4 linked regions of the Nothobranchius furzeri genome follow. The protein of the gene in region 1 interacts with the protein of each later gene in a biochemical or structural test. Links are inferred from orthologs where the notes say so. Each region holds a gene or a part of one and is shown on either strand. Other genes may lie near its edges.

Evidence for each region. The genes of interacting proteins can lie anywhere in the genome.
Region 2: the proteins of waca (region 1) and rnf40 form a complex in vitro, tested with the Homo sapiens proteins (2 studies listed by BioGRID). The link is inferred for Nothobranchius furzeri from reciprocal best matches to the Homo sapiens genes WAC and RNF40.
Region 3: the proteins of waca (region 1) and vcpip1 form a complex in vitro, tested with the Homo sapiens proteins (2 studies listed by BioGRID). The link is inferred for Nothobranchius furzeri from reciprocal best matches to the Homo sapiens genes WAC and VCPIP1.
Region 4: the proteins of waca (region 1) and rnf20 form a complex in vitro, tested with the Homo sapiens proteins (2 studies listed by BioGRID). The link is inferred for Nothobranchius furzeri from reciprocal best matches to the Homo sapiens genes WAC and RNF20.

The regions. Positions count from the first base shown.
Region 1 is NC_091747.1:30,752,295-30,758,146, forward strand, and holds the end of waca (WW domain-containing adapter protein with coiled-coil), read right to left. Parts: intron 2,859-5,852; coding exon 2,657-2,858; intron 2,573-2,656; coding exon 2,445-2,572; intron 2,366-2,444; coding exon 2,296-2,365; 3' UTR 996-2,295; downstream 1-995.
Region 2 is NC_091756.1:31,911,714-31,917,513, reverse strand, and holds the start of rnf40 (E3 ubiquitin-protein ligase BRE1B), read left to right. Parts: upstream 1-1,795; 5' UTR 1,796-1,884; intron 1,885-2,282; 5' UTR 2,283-2,293; coding exon 2,294-2,431; intron 2,432-2,544; coding exon 2,545-2,712; intron 2,713-4,510; coding exon 4,511-4,805; intron 4,806-5,056; coding exon 5,057-5,257; intron 5,258-5,449; coding exon 5,450-5,568; intron 5,569-5,716; coding exon 5,717-5,800. Other genes in the region: phkg2 (phosphorylase b kinase gamma catalytic chain, liver/testis isoform), read right to left, coding at 469-534, 628-682, 772-947, 1,039-1,133.
Region 3 is NC_091751.1:35,192,128-35,198,080, forward strand, and holds the start of vcpip1 (deubiquitinating protein VCPIP1), read left to right. Parts: upstream 1-1,948; 5' UTR 1,949-2,136; coding exon 2,137-4,783; intron 4,784-5,953. UniProt on the Homo sapiens protein: Deubiquitinating enzyme involved in DNA repair and reassembly of the Golgi apparatus and the endoplasmic reticulum following mitosis. Necessary for VCP-mediated reassembly of Golgi stacks after mitosis.
Region 4 is NC_091741.1:96,512,589-96,518,522, forward strand, and holds the start of rnf20 (E3 ubiquitin-protein ligase BRE1A), read left to right. Parts: upstream 1-1,929; 5' UTR 1,930-2,046; intron 2,047-2,328; 5' UTR 2,329-2,332; coding exon 2,333-2,503; intron 2,504-2,576; coding exon 2,577-2,645; intron 2,646-2,732; coding exon 2,733-2,831; intron 2,832-2,909; coding exon 2,910-3,057; intron 3,058-3,136; coding exon 3,137-3,322; intron 3,323-3,431; coding exon 3,432-3,547; intron 3,548-3,797; coding exon 3,798-3,944; intron 3,945-4,022; coding exon 4,023-4,097; intron 4,098-4,194; coding exon 4,195-4,314; intron 4,315-4,534; coding exon 4,535-4,714; intron 4,715-4,833; coding exon 4,834-4,969; intron 4,970-5,042; coding exon 5,043-5,164; intron 5,165-5,934. UniProt on the Homo sapiens protein: Component of the RNF20/40 E3 ubiquitin-protein ligase complex that mediates monoubiquitination of 'Lys-120' of histone H2B (H2BK120ub1).

The DNA of each region.
Region 1 (5,852 bases):
GTGTAACAGTGTTGCCGCCATATTGGATGGGTCTCCTTACTCCCAAAGTCAACGCAGAGTGGGTATTGGTTACTATCCTGTTTTGGTGCAACCTACAGTTGCAACAACCAGCATAGTATTAAACACAGATCATGTGGGATTACTTTCGACTTTTCCAGTCCACCTGTTGGGGTTTTATAATTTGTTTAATTATATTTTCATTATCATGCCACACACGTCTGATTTTATGAAAAATCTTGAGTGGTACAGGTTCCACATCAGTAGGTTTTGCTCACACACACCTCTCAGGAATCCTTTAGGGCAGCAGCAGCTCAGGAAGTAGAGCGGATTGTCCAGTAATCAGAAAGTTATATAATCGATCCCGGCTCCTGGCACAAACTCTACCCCATCTTGCCTGCTTGTGCTCGTCCTTGGCAGCTGCAGCTCATCCCAATCAGCGTGTGAATGGATGAATGATACACTGTAGAGCAGTTTCCCAACCCTGGTCTTCAGGGCACCGTGCATGTTGCCCTTTCAAACACGTTATCCTGCTGCACACACCCGACTTGAATGAATGATTAACAGGCATCTGCAGCACTTGATGTTCTCCTGAGGAGCCGATGTAAATCAGGTGTGCTGAAGCAGAGACATGGAATACATGCAGGTCAGTGTGCCCTAAAGACCAGGGCTGGTAAACACTGGTGTGGTGTTTAACGCTTTAAGGTCCTCGGACTCTGGATGGCGCTATACAAGTCATTTATCTTTTGAAGTTCAAGACTCGTGGACTTTTCTCCCTAGCTGTTAGAAATCTTCTTTGATTTTCTGTTGTGATCAGACCAAAATGATTCAGCTCAGACACCGTTTTTAGTTTGGAGCAGATTAAAGGTCTTTAAACTTTTAACTTGGAAGGATTTCTTTCATCAACCAATGAAATTGGTAAGGTGAAAGACTAGGGTTGTACCTGACTGCATTTTGGGCCCTCCTAATGAAACTTCACACAGGAACCATCGCAAACATGAACTTGGACAGGAATATTTTATTACATTTGTCAATAAACTTCAGGAAACAATATACAAAGCAATGATGTGGTAAGCTTGCCTGAATGTGTGGTGCCGTTTAGGTCAAGAGTAGTTATGGGGCAGGAGCTGAACGGTCCCTGCTGGTGAGGGGCATTACTGGGGGGTCAGGTGTATGTGAGGCTCATCAGTTGGAATTAAAGAAGACCCAGAACCTGCAGGTGAGGCTTTAGTCTTCCAACAAGGCACTAGCATAAGGACCAATAAAATAACCAGTGCTCGCTCCAGTTTAATATGTTTATTACAATACATACATTTCACATTTGAGCTATGACCTCCTGTCGCCCCACGCGGACTAAGAAGTGCTCCACATACCACTCCTTAGCCGGGCGCTGGTAAATGTGAGGATATCATTGTGAATTACTGTGCATCACTACAACTCTTATAAATAAAACCCTTTTATTCTTTGTTTTAGAACTCAACTGTTATGTTAGCAACTGTACAAAGGAATGATCCACCTTAGATTGAGAAGTCAGGAAGAAGCAGAGGGAACACAAACTGAGAGAAGAGAGGCGGGACGCATCGGGAGATGCGTGGCAGGCAGGGCAGAGCCAGGAGAGGTGAGTGGGAATGGTCCAAAGCAGCACGCCATCACATTCCTGTTTTTATCATGCCTCACTCCACCAACCACCAGGCAGACCGCTCTCCTGACCGGGTGATGCAGGGCCACCAGAAGCTGCGAGCAGATCCCTGAACCACTGTGGACCGTCTGGTGTTTGCCACGTCCGAACGAACATCTACCAGCACTGAGGTCGGCGTGTGTGTTCTGCATACATCAGGACCTTCCTCTGTGTACAGGCATGTCACTCACTGACCCACAGGTTCAACCATCCAGGAGCTAACAAATGAGTTAACATGAAGGACGGGCTAGCTCACGGCTAGCTGCCTAGTAGCTGATTAGTCTGGACGTCAAAAGCTTTGATAGGCATGGCTTTCCATGGCTCCCATCTACAAAATATATTTACAACATTGATAACATCTACAAGAAATCTACAATTGTCTCACTGTGAGGTAATTACAAAACTAAGTCTTGTAAATTGCCCCTCCCCCGCTTCCTCCCACAACAATACCTGTTCTGGTCTGCTGGCTCAAAGATTCAAGCCATCCCAACTTAAACTCCTAGATGTGTGTGTGTGTGTTGAGAATGGGTTCCAGAAGAACGGAACTGCTCTCTCCATCTTCCAACCTATGTGCAACGGGCCTCCCTTCCAAAAACCCCTCCAACTGGACACTTCGGTTCTCAGACCATGAAGGAATTCTGATTCTTCAATTTTTCAAGATCTTTGATTTGCTGTCTTAGAAACAATATCCTGTGGGACAGAGACAGACCCAGAGTTAGATCCAGAACGTTGCCACAGTCAGAACGGAGGTCAGAAGAACACCGCTCACCTCTGCTCACGCAGCGTAGCTTGGATTTCACAGACTCTGACCAAAGAGCGCAGGTTTTTGAGCTCAGTGCAGTTCTCAGACATGCAGATGCTGCCCATAGTGTGAGCCTCCTCCCGTAGTCTGGAGGCCTTTGAGATTTGACACAAACAAGTTTTACCTGTGTTCCAGTTCCTGAGAAAAACAACAGCTGCTACGCTGCAGGTGGTTCTGACCTGTTTCTCTGCGTGCTCTGCAGGCCACCCCTGAACATGTTTGATAAGGTTCTCACTGAAGTGGACAGCAAGAGTGGGGGTTAAGGAGCAGGAGGGTTGAGCTACTGAGGTGGTCGAGGGGGCAGAGACGGAGTTTGAGGTGCTGCTGCTGCTGCTGATGGAGACGACATGGTTGGGACCTGGGGAGGGACTCCTCTGACAGCTGCATTTGACACACAAGACAATAGTTAGGAGACAGCACGAGCCCCGACGCTCCACGTGCAAAAAAACACGTGTTCTATCAGTGGGTATGAATCAGCAAACTAGTATCAGATAGCAGAACCCACAAGAACTGTGTGTGTGTGTGTGTGTGTGTCACAAGACCATGAGGACACACACGGCAGAGTCTCCAAAAACAACACAGCTCAAGCCCACCTTTGTTTACCTTATAATGGAGGACACAGCGGATTAAACTCCGCCCACAGGCTCAGGGATTTCCGCATTCCTGAGAAGTCCCTCAGATTTATGTGACACTACACCGCCCGTTCCAGACCGACCGCACGCCATCCAGCCCCACCAAACCCCGACCATACCGACTCTAATGTGTAGGCGCCATTGGAGGTCCGACTGGGACCGAAGCGATGATACGGACTGACTGGCCAGCTGAAGTTCACCAACCGAATCAGCCAGCGGAGGTTCCTGTATGCGTGATTCGTTTAAACATCAGTAAACCTCTGTAGCTCCCGCTCAGTGGGAAAGGACAACAGAGTTGTGTGTGTGTGTGTCCTCTGAGCAGCAAACATCTCTGCACTGGAGCTGTCACCACAGCTGGGAGGAGAGCTGCGAGCATGTGTGTGTGTGTGTGTGTGTGTGTGTGTGTGTGTGAGTAAGTGGAGTTTGAGGACACGCATGGCAGTGAGAGAACAGGGAGGACATTAATAAAATGAGATGGTTCAGAGTCTCCAAAAGCTCAGCCAGCTTTTGTCTACTAGGCTGGAACAAACGATTATGTGGATCATCGATGAATCGGATGGGGTCTCGACTCGATTAATCGGATTAAACGGGAAAATTTTAATCAAATTAAACTTTATTTATAAAGCGCTTTTCATACAAAAAATGTAACTCAAAGCCCCAGGTCCAGGTCGGTTCGCCGGACTTTTTGACAATTAAAACAATATTCTCAGTATCATGTCATTTGACACGGACCGCAGGCAAAATAATATGATCAGAACATTATGAATATTATTTTTAATATTCCACAAAACAGGAACAAATTAAATACAAACAACATTTTATCATTTTAAAGTTTTGCTCCTGCTCTAGAAGCTCTTTGAAGATTATTTTTAAATCCCACTCCTGCATTTTTTAATAATCAATTAATCTAGCATTTAGTAAGGCTGAATGTCTCCCAACACATCCAGAAACGTGCAGCTGTGTTCAGCTAAAACTCTCAGGATGATCATGTCCAGGATGACTGAGAACTACACCTCCATGCTGCAGCAGCATTCAGTCACAACAGGAAGTGAAACTTAAATGTAGCTGCTGTCAGTAACAATCTAACAGATTTTAAACATTAAAACTCAACAGAAACAGTTCAGAAAGGAAATAAAATATGTTATTTATTATTATTATTATTATAATTATTTATTGTGGCAGAAACTGGTGTGGTCCACCACTGCTCTGGCATGATGACTTTAATTATTCTACAGGTTATTGTTCAGCCTTCTGACGCTCACACACACACACACACACACACACACACACACACACACACACACACACACACACACACACACACACACACACACACACACACACACACACACACACACACACACACACACGTGTTGGTGAGCGGCTGCGCCTGACTGCTGACGCTCCGTGTGTTTTTATTTCTGCAGTGAGACAAACTCACCTCACACCGTCCAGAATTTGTTCTTTAAAGCTTCTATTAAATCCACCGTGTTGACGTATTTAACACGTTTCCTCTACGCCGCAGGAGCTAGTTTACATCACGGCGTAAAAGTCTGGCAGACGTGGTTATTAATAACCATGTAATTAGTAATCTAACAGTAATAATCATGTAATCTAATAATCTAGCATTTAGTAAAAATCATGTAATCTAATAATCTAGCATTTAGTAATAACCATTTAATCTAGTAATCTAGCAATCAAGCTTTTAGTAATAACCATGTAATCAAGTAATCTAGCATTTAGCAATAACCATGTAATTCAGTAACCTAGCATTTAGTAATCATGTAATCTAGCATTTAGTAAAAATCATGTAATCTAATAATCTAGCATTTAGTAATAACCATTTAATCTAGTAATCTAGCTTTTAGTAATAACCATGTAATCAAGTAATCTAACAGTAATAATCATGTAATCTAATAATCTAGCATTTAGTAAAAATCATGTAATCTAATAATCTAGCATTTAGTAATAACCATTTAATCTAGTAATCTAGCAATCTAGCTTTTAGTAATAACCATGTAATCAAGTAATCTAGCATTTAGAAATAATCATGTAATCAAGTAATTTAGCAATAACCATGTAATCCAGTAACCTAGCATTTAGTAATCATGTAATCTAGCATTTTGTAATAACCATGTAATCTAGTAATCTAAAATAATCTCCTGACTCACCACTCATTACTGAAATATTTGATTCCAACCTTCCCTCCATCTGCAGACCAAATAATTGATAATAAAGTATTATTAATTATTTTTAACAAATAGGTTTTAGACATTGTATTTATGCTAGTAAACCAAAAACCTGGTGATATCTTTATTTTCAATTGTGGCTAGTAATAGTACAATCTGGACTAGGATTGATTAAAACAGGAATTATAAACAGGTGTGGTTGTTGACTAAAAATTAAAATGGCTTGCCATAAACCTCAGGTCTGCTTTGGAGCCAAACACAGTCCATGCTTCCGCTCACAACTAGATGCCATTAACAAAAAGTTGCTTCATTAAATTCCTGGTTTCCATGCTAAGTGACAAAAATCTGTACTTTCAGAGGATGCAGCCACAACTTTAATTTTTATTCATCTTATTAGTTTGTGAATTTGGAGATGTTTTATAAACAGTTTGATAGAGAAGCAGCGGCGGGAGGAGTGGGGCTTTGCAGCTTATAACAGGGACTTTTCCTTAGGAAAGTACCTAAATTTAGCACAGAAGAATACATTTGCCATTTATTCAGTAGCTACTGTTGAG
Region 2 (5,800 bases), on another chromosome or scaffold:
ACGGCAAGTTGAAGTTCAAACAGAGGATCAGGACAGAGGAAGAGGATTTGTAGTTTGTGCCATCAGATTCTGATGCTCTACTGTGATTTTCGTGCACAATAACAGAAAATGGTCCCAGAAAAAGAAAGTATCTAGTGAGTGGTAGATGAATTGATGAACAGGCAGACTGGTTCCAGGCAACAGTGGCTCAAATAACCACTGATTACAGCCCAGATTGGTATGGTTGTAACCAGTAAGGGTGGTTCAGAAGGACAAAGGAGGGTCAACCCAGCACTAGAAGCACTTTGTGATTCTATGTCTGTGATAAGTGCTGTATGAATAAAAATTGCTTACTTCTTATTTACTAGAAAGGCACCAAATAGAGCTGCCAGTGAGTGTGTGTATTTAAATGATTTGTGCTTCAGATTTCAAAACGCGTTTTAACGTTTATTGGAAACTGATGGAGAGTGTGTCGATTTTAGAGCTCACCTGGTCTCCTTTTCACTCAAGGTAACTTTTTCAGTGAGGTAGTCAAACAGCTCTCCTCGCCTCATGCTGGGGACAAAAACAGACCCGTTGGTGCTTCATTGTTTCGTGTTTTCCTTAAGTAAACATTATTGTATTTTGGCTCCTTTTCTCCATACTCACAGGTCAAACACTAGGAATATGAATGTGGTGGACTCGTAGGAATCAATGAGGGTGACTACATGGAATCAGACAAACACAAACCAGCATTAGGTCTTGGTATACAGAAAAAGACAAATATTCCTGGAGCGCAGAATGGCAACATACTGATGGAGGGGTGTCCCTTCACCATGTTGAGGACTTGGATCTCCTTCAGGGTGGAGGTCTTCACCTCCTGCAGCTGCTGGGCTGTCATCTTCTCCGCTGTGATCTCAATAATCTTCACTGCCAGCTCTTGACCTGTGTGTCTGTGCACGCACCTGCGTACCACACTGCTCACACCCCTACAGCACCACACCAGTTCAAAAGAACATCATGTTCTTATCACCAACCAGGCATGGAGGATGGAGTGTCATGCTGCCTGACTGGACTTACCTGCCGATCACCTCCTTGGGGTCATACTTCTGGTAGAATTCCTTAGCTCCCACCCAGTCCGGTAATTCATCTCCGACAACGATGTCCTTGGTCATGATGAAGCTATAGCAACAAACTCCGTCACATGTCAAAGTACAGCTTGTTTACCATGAACTACTTGAGCTAACTCCTGATAAGGGGTTCCCATTTCGTTTGGTTTGATTCCAAACACAGACTATACCTGTGACTTTTTGACAACACCTCAGAGTTTAAACACACAAGAAATTAGCTTTTATCCTTTATATCAGTAAGGTGAACTCGTCTTTGGTCTGGCCTTGTGTAGCAGAGGGCTCACTGACTGGCCGAACAGGAAGCTACTCACCTAACAGCGAGAAGGGGAAGGAGACGGATCCCGAGTTAGTGTAGCGAAGCCATTAAATAACTCGAGCTGTTTATCGTGAAGTCACGCCGGATATCTGCTAGCATAAACCGGAGCGTTATTTACAGTTTGGTAAAATTCCTTTGAAGTCGTTTGAAACCGGTTCATATCTGAAGTAGCAATACTGCCCCTGTGTGGTGGCAGAGGAGATTGCGGGATCAAGATATTTCTTAGTTTTTAGACATTGACGCAATGAATCACTCAACCGTGAGATATTTTTGAAACCATGCGTAGCAATAATTTTAATGTAATTTTTAAATGTTATTCTTTTTTTTTAAATCGGTGAATTTGTTCAAAACCTCACAAAGTTACATTTCAACACTAGGTGGCAAAAGAAGCTCTGCAAATTAAGCGTAGAAGAAGAAGCGTTGTCGTCATTTCCTGTTGCATTATGTTCTGAATTATATTTTCGGTCGTTCCTTGCGAAGGTGCGTAACGTTCAACTTTTGTCATTTGTTGCATTTCTGTAAATGATTTTACGTAGAAATGATTCTTCATTTAATGATAGTTAGTAAATAAAACAATACTCCACCGTTATTTGCTGTGTTGGACAAAGATCGCTGTCCTGCTAACCGAGAGTTAGCATTAGCAAAATAGTTAATTTTAACAAGAAAATGTAATGTGCTGTATTTCTTTTAAAAGATGGCTAATAATTACAAGGAGGCATTATACACTCCTGACTTCTACTAATACGTAGCTGTAAATGTTGTACCTGCCCTGCGAAAGTAACGTTCACACGGGTTCTAACTGTATTTATAATTTGTTTAATTCCGTAATCTCTTCATGCTGCCTCCAAAAATTAACGTTGTTTGAACTTTTTATGAAGGCTAAGGAAAGATGTCAGGTGCTGGGGGAGGAAAACGTCCTTCTGGAGGGGATAGTCCCCCTGGTCCACCTGAGAAGAAGACCAAGAAGGAGGAGAAGACCACCACCACACTGATCGAACCAATACGAATCGCTGGAGTCTCTTCAACGGTGAGTCCCTGCAGATTTACTAGTTAAAATATTTTGAAGTGTGTTTATTACTGTGGTGTACTTTAACACGTAAAGTGTCTTATATTTTGGGTGTTTTTGTTGATGAACTACAGGAAGAAATGGACATGAAGGTGCTCCAGTTCAAGAACAAGAAGCTATGTGAGCGCCTGGAGCAGAGACAGGCCATGGAAGATGAGTTACGAGAGAAAATCGAAAAGCTGGAGAAGAGACAAGCCACTGATGACACCACCCTCCTCATCGTCAATCGCTACTGGACTCAGGTACATTAATCGTTGGATATGGCTGGGAAAAAAGCTTTAAATAATCCCTTACTTCTTTATGCTTTCTATCCAATCAGCCAGGTTTTCTTTTGTGTGCAGCTTTTCTAAAATTTTCTTTAGACTTTTACTGTTTTTTTCCACTCCTTATCTGTCCAGTCCTCATACCTGATCATGGCAGGATATTGTGCATTGTGAGTTTAGAAAATGATGAAGTATAAAGACATTAATCACTTTATTAATCTACTAGATTGCTCTGTTGCACTTTGTAGAAGAATCACATTATTTGTGTATTTTAAAGCTGTGGTTCCCAAAGTTGATGTTGGAGTTGAAAATAATAGTAATGCATGTTTAATATACTGTGTTTAAGCTGTGTTACATTATACACTTGTTTGAGACCTGTTATGTATTATTATATAATGTTAAGTGTTGTGAACTCTGGAACTGCGCTGCTCTGGGTGGCTGCATGTTGGAGTAGCTCTGTTGACTATTTGTAAGTTTTGCCTTTTCGTGGACATTTTTTCTTCTAGTTTCTCAAGAAAAACTGTATTTTTTGGACATTTTACTTTTCTGTTTCTGGTGCTGTGAAGCTTGGAGGATTTTTACTGCTATTTTTCACTTTTTTCACTTTTTGAACATTTGTTATGATGCGTAACCATGGCAACACACTGGTTTACAATCGGTAGCAGCTGATTAACATTGGAAAGGCTGAAATAATACCTCAACTGAAGCCACAAATCCCAAATGAGCTATAACGCAAGAAGTATGGATGCAGAGCGGGAGCAAAACGGAGACAGAGAAAGAGGAAATTCAAACCATCTCTTCCATTTATCATAATGGGCAATGTGAGATCACTGGCCAACAAAATGGATGAACTCCAAGCCCTTTGAAGGACTCAGCCAGAGTTTTGGCAGTGTAGTGTTATGTGTTTCAGTGAGACGTGGCTGCAGGACCATATCCCCGATTCCAGCGTCTCTCTGCCAGGATTCCTGACTGTACGGGCAGACAGAGATCTGAGCAGGAGCGGGAAAAGAAAAGGAGGTGGAGTGGCAGTGCTTGTCAACAACGGATGGTGCCATCCAGGTCATGTTTCGGTGAAATGTCGTCTCTGCAGCCCAGATGTTGAACTCTTGGCAGTAGATGTGGAGGTGGTTGAGGAATACAAATACCTTGGAGTTCACCTGGACAACAGACTGGACTGAAGAAAGAACAGTGAAGCCGTTTACAAGAAGGGACACAGCAGACTGTACTTCTTGAGGACGCTTAGGTCCTTCAATGTCTGTAGCAAGATGCTGCAGATCTTCTACTAGTCTGTTGTTGAGAGTGTAATCTCTTCATCCATCGTCTGTTGGGGTAGTAGCATCAGAAGCAGGGACCTGAAAAGGCTCAACAGCCTAATAAAAAAGGCTGGTTCTGTTCTGGGGACGACTGTGGAACCGCTGGAGGAGATAATGCAAAGAAGGATTCTCCAGAGAATCAAGAAAATTATGGACAACCCTGAGCATTCTCTTCACAAGACTGTCCGACAACGGAAGAGTGTCTTCAGTCAGAGGCTTCTTCAGTTTCGCTGCAACACTGACCGCTACTGGAGATCCTTCCTGCCAACAGCCATTGTAATATACAATAACTCTTTGATGACTTGATTATTATTATTATTCTGAGCTACTACAGCAATCAATTTCCCTCTGGCATTAATAAAGTATTTTAGAATTTAATTTAATTGAAATTGATGTGTGTTATGCTTCTAAAACAGTAACCATTCAAAATATTCAAACTTTGTTTGTTCTGTTTTTACTTACAGCTGGAAGAAAATGTAAATATTCTGCGCAAATATATTGAGCCAGAATCAACAGCAGCATCTGCTCCTGCGCCACCTTCAGCCCTCCCCGATGCTACACCCACGGATACCATCAGCCTGGCATCACCGTTGGTTACAGTGCCTCCACCTCCTCTGCCGGAGGCCCAGGGTGAGACTGAGCTCACAGAACCGCAGCAACAAGAGAATCAACTGGAAGACCATCAGGAGGTGCCACATCCTCCTGCTAGATCAGAGGAGTTACTAACTACTGTGGAACCGCCACAGGATTCAAAAACTGGTCAGCAGCTTTTTATTTTGTTTTCTAAAACGATTTTTTGTTGAAATTTGCTCCTGCATTGTGACATTCTTTGTGAATAAAATGTAAATGATAGTGTTCACGGCTTTGTTCGCACCTAATATCTTGTGAATCTGCATTCATCAAAAAAAGTGACATTTTTGTAATGAGCTGCACCAGGGCAGTGATTTAGGTCGTAATGTGGAGTTCTAGCTTGATTTGCTTTGTTCATAACAACTTAATATTATGTCCAGACACATCACCGCCTCCCCCTCCCTTAAGTGAGAATGCTAAGGGCTTTTTGACCATGCTGGAGCAGAGCAGCGAGGAGGAGCTTTCATTGCACCTCCAGGACCGCATGCTGTTCAGCAAAGAAGCCATCGCCCACTTGGTGCAAGTCTTTGACAGGCTGCACAGTCGCATCGACGACATGTGCAGGGCGGTCCAGGCTGCAGGTACCTAACAAACCTCTAATAACACATACATAGGAGGTAAATGTTGCAACTCATTCATTGATTGAATAAATGTTATTCTATGCCTGGATAAGCTGTTAAATTAGTTGTTTATCTTACGACTACAGGACAAATGAGTGTGGTTTTGACAGATGTTAGTTTTTGTGTATTTGTGTAACTGTTATTTATGATTAGTGGCAGAGGACGACAGCCAGGCTGACATCAGGCTGAACCGCTCCCTGTTGGACGAACACATCCGACTACGAGACCATGCCAACCTCCTGCAGGGACGACACCACAAAATGTCCATGGAGGTACAATTTTCATTCCTGTGTCAGTGTGCATGTTAGTATTTGTAAGTGTGAATGCAGAAGTCTGTGTATCCATTGATATTTATGAGATTGAGCATGCTTTAATCACAGCGGTTAAGTGTTGTTGTTATGATGCCTTGATTTCTTGCAGTACAATGAGTTGGTGGACAAAGTGACCAGTGCAGAAACTAAAGTGTCTGAGATGGAGACGGCAGTGGAGGACCTTCAGTGGGAC
Region 3 (5,953 bases), on another chromosome or scaffold:
TGTCTGACTTCTGTTCATCTGGAGGTTTTTGTTCAGCCTGCAGAGATCATCTCTCTCTGTGGAGACCAGATTTCTGACAGCTGCAGTAGTAGGAGGCTGCATGTTCCTGTTGGACTTTTATGGTGATCGCATTACAGCCGTAGTCTTCTGTATTTGCCATAAAATGATCCTTCTGGGGATGGTTGTAGCATCTGTTCATGGTTTTGTTAATGAGATCGATGCATAGGATGACCCGAAGAGGATGCTGCTCCGTGTGCTGGTACCAGTGAACTTGCTTGTTGTCACACGCTTCTGTTCCTGAACACTTTAGAGAAACTATATGATCATCTCTGGCAGTATAAGATTACTGGTCCTGAGTTAGCACCTCTGTTGCCATGGTAACCAGCACCGTAGGGACACAGACAGACAGGTGAAGGTTTGTTCCAGTTGGGGTGTGCTGGCTCCTGATTGGCTGGAAACACTCACCTGAACATATACAGCACAGAGCAGCAGTTGGGAAGAAAAGCATTGTGTTCAGTGGTGTTTCCTCTGGTGAACCTGGGGAGAAGTGGTGCTCTGATGCAGCTGAGGCCAAACAAGATCAGACCAGGGCCACGTGGTTTTACCAGCTCCTCAGCTCCCATCAGCCCCTGCTGCTGCTGGTGCAAACAGGAGCATCTGTCGACTGATAAGCGAACAGCAGCTATTCCTGATTAGCTTTTGTGTGACGTAGCTCATTCTTGTTATTTCCTGTTATTGTTTTAAATTACTCCAAACTCTAACTCTTCTTTTCCAATGACCCATAAATCATGACTGTGTGGAAAAAACTTCAAGTAAAAAAAAAAAAACCACAAACCTGAAAGTGAGTTTTCTCTTTATATTTTAACTTCTGATATTTCAAAAGGTTCCCGCAATAAAAGCTCTGGTCAACAACGATTCTGCATATTTCTGACAGGGTTAGATAAAAAAATAAAAATATAACACGAAAAATAATTTTAGAAAATAAGAAAAGAATGAAAAAAAAAATGCTCGCAAAGTTCTGCAACAGTTATACATGTTTTAATTTAGCATTTGTTTTGTTTTAATTTTAAACTGAATATTTGGAGTTTCTTTTCGTCTTTTTCTGAATGAATATCACAACTTTTAATAATTAGCCTACCTCAATTTATTTATATAAAACACACACGCAATCTCTCATGATGCTTTTCTATTATAAATGTTTCCTGTAACAGGGTTAAAGAATTTCTTTTCTGAAACAAGGTTTTAGTCTGCCACCTGGTGGTCAGTTTTGTGTAATACAAGATCCTTTTGAACAGAGATAATTAATCTTCAAACCCTGGAAACTTCATTCATTCATTCGCTCTAATAAACTGGATTTCATCATTAGTCAAATACAATACGAATAATACATTTTTATCTTAAAGGTCAATGAAAGGTCTATTCTACTATGTTGTGATACTTAACTTAAATTAAAAAGGTTTAATTACAGAATTCCCGTAATTCTGAATGGAGTTCAGCGAGAGCTACATACAAGAAGCTAACAGCTAAGCTAATTGGGAAACTTGTGATGTAAGTTAGAAACCAAAAGCAGACTGGCCCTGCTCCACCTGCCGCCACTCATATCAACTCTGGCTGATGTAAATGTGCTTAAGTTCATTTACGGGATTGAAACAGAAATAAAAATCAAATGTATTCCTTTTATTTAGACTAAACATACAGAGGAGTTCGGAACTGACTTCCTTACACAACAAAACGTTAGTCCAGCGCGGTGCATTCTGGGAAATGTAGATAGCTGATTCACAAATCTACCAAATGAAATAAGACACCAAAAGTAATTGTTTCATGGATAAAAATTACCACGACCAAACTACAAGAGAGATAATAAAAATAATAGTTTTCAGTTATTATGTAAGCGGTGGGAAAACTGGGACAATTACATGCAAAAATAAACTACATTTCCCATCATCCAACAGCAAGCGCACGTACGTTGAGCAACAATCAGATGCTAAAGGAAAACGGCCGCTTCCGTGTTGTTCTTGTGTTATTCTGGACGATAATAGCTGAAATCGCTGCCACCCTTCACCCGACAGCGTCCCTGAGGGGTAATTATCATGCTATTGTGAAGCTAAAATACGTTTTCAGCCTCTCTCGCCCGAAATGTCGCTGCTGCAGAGCTCAAAGAAAAAAGACAAGCGTATTTTGTCTGGTACCTGCCCAGACCCGAAATGTCAGGCGAGGCTCTTCTTCCCCGCTTACGGCTCCATTAGCATCGAGTGCACCGAGTGCGGTCAGCGCCACGAGCAGAGGAACCTGCTGAATGTCGAGGAGGTAACGGATCCAGATGTGGTGCTCCACAACCTCCTCAGAAACGCCCTGCTCGGCGTCACCGGAGCCCCGAAGAAAGGGACGGAGCTGGTGAAGGTGATGGGGCTCTCTAACTACCACTGCAAGCTGCTGTCCCCGGTGCTCACCCGTTACGGCATGGACAAACAAACCGGAAAAGCCAAGCTGCTGAGGGACATGAACCAGGGGGACATTTTTGACTGCTCTCTGCTGGGGGACAGAGCCTTCCTGATCGAGCCGGACCATGTTTCCACCATGGGATATGGGCAGGACAGGTCTGGGAGCCTCATCTACCTCCACGACACTCTGGAGGAGATCAAGAAAGCCAACGGAAACAGAGAGTGTCTTATTCCAGTCCATGTGGATGGAGACGGGCACTGCCTGGTCCACGCTGTGTCCAGAGCGCTCGTAGGAAGAGAACTTTTCTGGCACGCCTTGCGAGAGAACCTTAAGCAGAACTTCAAACAGAACCTGGTCCGATACAAAGCCCTGTTTCAGGACTTTATCGATGCTGCAGAGTGGGAGGACATCATCAATGAGTGTGACCCTCTTTTCATCCCGCCTGAGGGCGTGCCTCTTGGACTACGCAACATCCACATTTTTGGTTTAGCTAATGTCCTCCACCGACCCATAATCCTCCTGGACTCCCTGAGCGGAATGAGAAGCTCCGGGGACTATTCTGCCACCTTCCTGCCCGGACTGGTGCCGGAGGAGCAGTGCAAGGGAAAAGACGGGAAGCTCAATAAGCCCATCTGCATCGCCTGGAGCAGCTCAGGCAGGAACCACTACGTCCCTCTGGTGGGAATCAAGAACACGGTGCTGCCCAAGCTGCCAGCCCGCCTGCTGCCGAAGGCCTGGGGTGTTCCCCAGGAGCTCATCAGGAAGTACATCAAATTGGAATCAGACGGCAGCTGTGTGATCGCAGGCGACCGCAGCTTGCAGGATAAATACCTGATGAGGCTAGTGAACGCCATGGAGGAGGTGTTCATGGATAGGCACGGCATCCACCCCTCGCTGGTGGCCGACGTGCACCAGTACGTCTACAGACGGACGGGGGTGATCGGCGTCCAGCCGGAGGAGGTGACCGAAGCAGCCAAGAAGTCCGTGATGGAGAACAGGCTGCACCGCTGCCTGATCTGCGGCGCCCTCTCAGAGCTCCATGTCCCCTCCGAGTGGCTTGTCCCAGGTGGAAAGCTCTACAACTTAGCCAAGTCCACACACGGCCAACTCCGACCAGACAAGAACTACAGCTTCCCCCTAAACAACGTGGTCTGCTCCTATGACACCCAGAGAGACATCCTCGTCCCGGACTACAAACTGAGCGCCCTCAACACTTGCAACTGGTGTCACGGGACATCCGTGCGCCACATCCGTGGGAATGGGTCAGTGGTTTACCTGGATGGGGACAGAACTAACACCCGGTCCCAGGGGGGGAAGTGTGGCTGTGGATTCAAGCACTACTGGGAGGGGAAGGAGTACGACAACCTCCCCGAAGCCTTCCCCATCACACTAGAGTGGGGGGGGCGGGTGGTGCGTGAGACGGTGTACTGGTTCCAGTACGAGACCGACCCGACGCTGAACAGCAACGTGTACGACGTAGCTATGAAGCTGGTCACCAAGCACTTCCCCGGAGAGTTCGGTAGTGAGATCCTGGTTCAGAAAGTGGTCAACACCATCCTGCATCACACCGCCAAGAAGAACCCAGACGAGTACAACCCGGTTTCTATCGACGGGGCTCATGCCCAGCGGCTCAACGACCCGTTGGAGACCCAGCCCACCGCAGACCCGCAGCCCCCCACCAAGATCATCCTGACCGGTCAGAAAGCAAAGACGCTGCACAAGGAGGAGCTGACGATGAGCCGGGCGGAGCGCAGCATCCAGCAGAGCATCAGCGAGCAGGCCCTGGTCTCCCAGAAAAGACGCACAGAGAAACTCAAGCAGGAGCAAAAGGGTCAGATCCGGGACTCTTCCCCTGGGGGGTCTCCAGAAACATCCTCCTTCTCAGCTCCAGCCACCCCTACCAAGTCCTCCTCCCCCTCTTCTAACAAGGAGAAGAAGATCCGTGTGACCACCAGCGATGGCAGGCAGGCCATGCTGACTCTGCCTGCTCACACCACCTTCTCAGACCTGCAGAGCAGCATCTCCAACCAGTTTGGCGTTCTTCCGGCCCAGCAGTGCATTCGTTATGGCTTCCCGCCCAAAGAGCTGGGTCCTCCGAAGGACGGCGAGGAGAACGAGCCGGTTGTGCTGCAGCATGGGGACAGGGTGACAGTGGAGATCCTGAGGGGCTCTGAGGACACGAGCCCCGCGGCCTCCATCACCAGAGCCTCCAGCTCACACTCGTCCCTCCACTCGGCCAAGAGCGACGACGCCATGATGTCCAGCAGGATGAGCAGCCGGGAACTCCAGGAGAGCATAGACCTGGAGATGTCCTCCCTCTGTCTCCTAGCAACCTTGATGGGTAGGTGGCATGTGGTCTGACAGGAACCGAGCGTCTCATCGTTACTGGACCCAGTCTGGGACGGCAGATCTCCGCTGTGGAGTTAAAATGCAGAACTTTGTTTTTGATGCTTTTTCATAAAGTTCTCCCACAAGGGCTGAACTTCTGCGCTTGTTTAACGTTTCCGATTTATGAAACATTTAAATCCTCTTCAGCAAAACTCTGGTTTAGTTTCAGCTCCGTGTTGCTTCTGTGCACACGGTGTCTCCGTGAGACATGAACGTGTAGACGAGGGCCGCACCACATGTCCAGTAAGAACAGGAACTTAGCTCAGCTCCCATAATTCCAGTTCATCTGGGGCCACAAACTAACCCGGCTCTTTAACTCCAGTTCAGATTAAGTTTCGGGATTTGCTGCAGTTTATTTTTATTACAACAAAAAGAACTTCAGGAATTAGTTCAGTTTTTCCCATTTAGGTAGAAAACTGTGGAATCAGACGATAAACCTGTGGAGGAGTTAAATATAAATAAAGTTGTTTACATCTTTAGTTATTTCCAGACTCACTAAAGCATTTTTGAATGAATTCCAGCTTTTTGTCTCAGATATGCTGAAAATGTTGTTTTCCTAGTTCCGATCTCCGGATTCGAAGTGAAGTCTTCCCGTATGTCGGAACATTTCAGAAACAAACTTCAGGAAAAACAGATTTTAACCACGTTTAAGTGAAACTGGAGCGTTTTATTAACTCTGTGACTGAATGATGAGAAGCTGGTTTTATTAGTCGTTCAGCTCTGGAAGCTTCATGAGCTGCAGGGAAACCGTCTGACACTGTGAGGTGTGTGTTCATATATAAAAGTAACACACGTTACCATTGTAACACACGTGTTCATGCCACTTGGGGCCCCAGACCCCCAGGTTTCAGTGTTACTGATGCACCTCTCCCACCTGCAGCAAATATTCATGCTTCTTTCTGATTGGCTGCTGCAGGTGAACAAACCACAGGCGTCCAATCTGCAGCTGTCTGAGATCCCAGGCTCCTGATCAGCGGTGTGTGTGTGTGTGTGTGTGTGTATGTGTTTGTTTGTGTGGTGGATTAGCTGAGTCAAGTATTTCATCCCCTTCCTATCTCGCATGCTAACAGGGTCAAAGGTCGCTGCAGCGTCCGATAAACAGATCAGCCAGACAGCAGGCAGC
Region 4 (5,934 bases), on another chromosome or scaffold:
GTGAAAGGCCGTTTTAATGGGGCGGCGGAGGTGGTGGGGGAGGGGCCGGTGATGTGGCGGGGGGAGGCGGGTGTTGATCTGGGAAGGCCATTGGCCCCAGCCACGAGAAGAGGGGCGGTGCGTATTTGTTGTTCATATCAGGATCTGATGATCAAACTAGAAATCATAGTGAAGGGAACGGTTCAGCTTTGAAAGCAGCTCTGTCTGCTTCTGCAGCGCTCAGGCTGCAGAAATGTTGCACTTCAGGTTTAGTTCTCCTAAAGAAAGACCGGGCATGTTCACAAGCAAATGCCACTTTCGATATGAGTTATTTATATGTCGATGTTTACAGCAGCTTCTGTTTTTATTATCACACAAACACGTGACCAAATTTTTCTTTTCCTCCGGTAGAAACCCTATATATATATATATATATATATATATATATATATATATATATATATATATATATATATATATATATATATATATATATTATATATGCAATTTCTGCATTATTTTCCAGAATTACAGTTTAAAACAAAGGAATAGTTTTACACTTTATATCATTATAGCTTTAAAAATGTGTTTTTGCACACAGACTAAAGGCAACAATAATTTGTTTATTTTTAACTAAATCACTTTTTTCTAATCTTGACACAGTTATTATTTTCATATGGTGAGTGTGTTGTTTATGCATTATTGTATTTTGTGTTTTTAATGTTGTTTAATGCTTATATTTTAAATGCATTTTCAAATCAACTTTAAAGTTTCTTAGATCAAACCTTCATATAAGCTCCTGAGCTTTTTGCCTCTCCTTGCATCCAATCTATTTTTTTTTCTTATTGTGTGTGAAACTAAACCCATCATGCATAAACATAGTTTAGTAAAACTGAGCTTTGTTGCACCCCACGTACTCAGCATATGACAGCAGATATTAGGTCTTGGACCCTACGGGTTGGGCTTGATTTGTATCTTGCAAATAACGACAAGACAGCATTTACACAACCCGGACTCTGCACCTTGTCCAATGTCATTTTTAATATTGCAGACCAGAGTTCAGTCTTTGTGCGTGCCTTTATTTTTGCACCACCTTTTGAAAGTGAGTCAAGCACACAATGGTTGTCCTCTGAAAAGGGCTGCTTGCTACAACAAGTCAGTGAGTTGGTTATTATAAAACTTGCGTGGGACAATTTTTGGTTTGGATATTTTAGTCAGTACAATGAGGCAAAATCCTACAAGCTGTACATCTATCTTCCCTGCAGCTGGCAGCAAACAAAAGAGGAGTAAGGTCCATAAGACAACATTCCTGAGATTATGGATGGAAATCTTCCAAGTTTATTACAACTATCCTTTGGCCTTAGTATTTATTTTTAATTCTAGAGAAGATAAAATATGTTGCGACTATAGCAGCGGAAGTATTTTAGACATTGTGGGAGAAAACAAATCTTCCAAGGTGATGTGGTTTGTATGTGGCGGCCTTATCATGCAGATGAGTCCTGGACTTTGGTTAAACTCTGAAATTACCAAATAACAAAGCTAGATAAATTAGATAATGAGTTAACAAATATTCTCTGAGTTGCTTTCAAAAATAAACAGTCTGCGTCATCTACTGTGCAATAGCTTGTTTGCCATTTGAGGGTCAGCCTTCAAATGGCTGATGATGAGGCAAACAAACAATTTAAAATATTCTATAGCAAGGTTATTTCAGAATTAAAAATTGTGTAGTTTAAATATCTTTTTTAGATGTGTGTATGTTGTCCTCAGCCAGGGTTAAATACACATTATAGCATTATAATGGGTGTTGATGCTTGAAATCTGTGTTTCAGATGCAAATAAATCATCTGATGATTCTTGACCATCTTTTCTGATCAGTTTATAAGCATTAAATCGTAAAATGCTGCAGAGTGTTTCACACTCCGATACAGCAGGTGGTGCTTTTGCGTCAGAGCGCGTGCTAAAGCGGGTCCTCTGGAAACCGTTGCCACTTCCGTTTCCGTTAGGCAAGAAGCCGCAACATCAACATTTACTGACACATTTAGTTAATAACTCTTACATTTAAAATTGGTAAGATTTCAGCTAGGCGTTGTCGACGCAGGTCCACAACGATGTGGTCGCATTAGTCTGTTGGTTCAGGATTAAAGCTGGTCAGATTTTCGGCTAGCTTTAGCAGATGGCCAACGTTAGCTTAATTACTGATTTCGCTACTTCAGTCTTTAAAATGTTAAAACTGGTCATATTTGTTCATTTATTTGAGAACGCTTACTATATTAGATCGTTGCAGTCGAAATACATACTTTAAATTAATCCCCTAAATCTGATCTACAATATACTATTTTATCTTTTTAGGAGGATGTCGGGGCAGAAACGTCCCGCTGACCCCTGCGGATCGTCGTTCTCCGGAGCCCCGCCTGAGAAGCGGAGGGAGCGCGAAGGAGAGGACGGAGGTCCCGGTGTCAGCGCCGCGGCCGGTGGTAGCACAGCGGTGGAAACGGTCATCAAACTGGGAGGAGTGTCCAACTCCGTGAGTCTCACTACTGCAGATTACTAATCTAACATGTATTGGTTTTATGGACACACGAGTAATGTTCTTCCAGGAAGAACAAGACATCAAGGCTCTCCAAGCAAAGAACCGCAAGTTAGGTGAAGCTCTAGATCAAAGACAGGTGAATTTCTAATCTTTATTTCAGATCAACACCCAAACACAGGATTCTCCAGCAGAACTGTGACATTTACTCTTGGTTTGTTTGAAGGTGATTGAGGATGAGCTGCGAGAGCGAATTGAGAGACTGGAGACCCGGCAGGCCACTGATGATGCCAGTCTGCTCATCCTTAACAGATACTGGAACCAGGTGAAGAAGTAGAAGAAAGTATCCTGGATTATTTGTCCTTAGAGTCCAAGTGTGACATTATGCTAATTTTTTTTCCAGTTTGATGACAATATTCGGCTCTCCGTCAGGCGCTATGATGGAGCAAACGGCGAACCAGAGAAATCACCCTCAGGTGAGGGTCGGAGCCTGAAGCCAGAAACCCCAGAACCTGATGGAGACTCCAACCAGGAGAGGGCCAAAGACCGAGGTAATGAGACCTGAAATCTGAACATCATAATGATATTTTTAAAAAAGCAGAACCTTAATAAAAATTGTATGTCGCTCAGGTCATCAAGGAGAGACCTCCAACTCCTTCCTGGCCACACTGGCGAGCAGCACCAGTGAGGAGATGGAGGCAGAGCTCCAGGAGAGAGTGGAGAAGAGCCAGAAGCAGGCCAGTCATGTTGTGGAGATCTACAAACATCTGAAGAGCAGCGTGGACCAGCTCAAGGCAGAGCTGGACTCTGGAGATGGTGAGGAAAAATAAATAACCTGTGAGATTTAGAAAGCTGTGATTATAAATAAATGTTGCCCTGGAGAAAAATGTCAACCAGTTTGTGCTTTTTACGGATTGATTTGCAGATGGGAGTTTGAAGCAGGTCACCTCCAAACTGAATTCCCTCCTGACACGTGAAAACGAGCTGCTGCAACAGCTGACTGAAGACCTGAAGCAGAAACACAGTCACATGACCAGCGAGGTAAATCATAGTTCCTTTCTTAGAAAGTTATCTCGAGCCAGAATCGGTCAAATAAACCCCAATCAGGACTTATGTAGTCTGTTATTACAATAGAATGTCAGTAAACTCTAAGGATCTCTTTTAACATGAATATCAAATTGTTTTTGCTTGTTCCTTTATTTAAAAACGAATATCTAGTCATTTATATTTTTTATACAAAGCAGTTGTTTAGAGAGCGTTAAGATCCTGTGAGCTCTGGTCCTCTCTGCAGTCGCGGTCTCTGGGTCGGGCAGCGAACAAAGCGGATCAGCGCGTCGGCGAGCTTCAGGTTCGGATCGAGGAGCTCCAGTGGGACATGGAGAAGATCCGTCGCCGAGAGAACAGACTGAACGCACACCTGAGCGAGGTCCTGGAGAGGGTGAGAGCGATGCTAATAACTGTCATGGCAGCACGATGTGCCTGTGGAAGTGACTGTAACACCACCCGTGTTCTCCAGGTGAACAGTAAAGGCTATAAGGTGTGTGGAGAGGCCAGCAGTGTGTGTGGAACCATCACTATTAACAAGAGAAAGGTACACTTTCTTTTGCTGTTATTTTTGTCATTAGGAATTATTTTAGGGGTGTTCTGTAGGTTTTATGGTTTTGTTTCAACTTTTATTTTGAAACTAGTTTGAGGACATGAACAGTGAGCTGGAGGAGAACACGGAGCTGGCAGAAAATCGCTCTGTTGAGCTGCAGAAGCTGCAGCAGGACCTGCAAAATGTCCAACAGGAGAACAACAACATGAAGGTACCAGTGTTACGTCAGCTCCACGATCCCAAATATTCAGCCATATTATCATAAACTCAGAGAGGCTACAGTATATGAGTGCAAATTAACATTTCTGCCCCAAAATATTCCTGGCTCAATTTACTCGTCCACAGAAAAAAATTGCAAAATTAGTCAATTTTTTCAATGGAGGGACAGAAAAATGACTTTTTTTTTCTTGTCTAACTTTCTCAACTTGCAGACGGAGCTGCTGAGTCGAGCTGAAGGTTTCGTTAAAGAGACCTCAGAGTATCGCTGCCTTCAGTCCCAGTTCTCTGTGCTTTACAACGAGTCCCTGATCCTCAAAGCTCAGTTAGATGAGACACGCGCTCGCCTCAACACCACCCGGACGGCACGGCTTCGGCAGCTGGACCACATGGAGGTGTGTGTGTGTGTGTGTGTGTGTGTGTGTGTGTGTGTGTGTGTGTGTGTGTGTGTGTGTGGTCGGTGTGGGATTGTGTGTTTTCGTCTCTTGCTTATTTTCATCTCGCCTGAGTGCAGAACGATGAGGTGGCTCTGCAGAGGAAAGTACGCACCGAGGTGTTTCAGCTGGAGGACACACTGGCTCAGGTGAAGAAGGAGTACGAGATGCTGCGCATCGAGTTTGAACAGACTCTCGCAGCCAATGAGCAAGCAGGTAACTGGCGTTTCTGATCAAATAAAGTCCTTCCTTGATCTATATTGTCTAACTCCCCCCCGCCCCCTCCTAGGTCCCATCAACAGAGAGATGCGTCACCTGATCAGCACGCTGCAAACACACAACCAGCAGCTGAAGGGGGAGGTGGTGAAGTACAAGCTGAGACTACGAGAGGCTCAATCTGAGCTCAACCAGGTACGTCACAGTGAACGAGGGAAGGGTCATCATCATAAATATATGCTACTGCTTGTATTTGGGCTGAAAAAGTGTAATCTTCTCGTCGTTTAACACGTTCATTAACTCCGATGACTACTCTATTGAGCGTTAACACTTCTTTATTTTGTCCTTTGGAAGTCTATCGCTCTCTTGCTCTAAACACAGCTTTAAAACCTGCGAACGTGCATTCTGCGTGTATCCATTAATCACGATACGAGATACGAGAGAAGAAGTTGTGAACCCGTGGGTGGAAAAATACATCGTAAGAATACATTTCTGTAATATGATTTCAGTGTTTCCCTTAGGAATTTTTCCAGCTGTGGCGGTGGGGCCGGTGTCGGTACAAGATCTGCTCGGGTGCAAGATCGGCTCGGGGTCCGTCGGCTGCCGATGACGTCAAAGTAGTTGATTGGCTGAACATGGACCTTACGGAATTACGTAATCACGTTACGTTGTTATCACGTTACGTTGGTCCAGGCAAATCTTTCTGTTGGAAAGATGGACAACTTTTACAAAGAAATCCATCATTACCTCTTTGAAAATACACTTTTAGCGTAGAGCTGCATGTATATTAGGGCTGAACGATTACTGCATATGCAATTAAATTGCGATGTGACAAAAGGAGATTTTCTAATCGCAAAGGCTGCAATTTGGCAGCGAGTGGTTAGCGCAATGCTAATATACGTGGAAAAACCCATAGGAATGCTAATGCTAATATCACTGATTACATTCTTACAAATTATGAATTA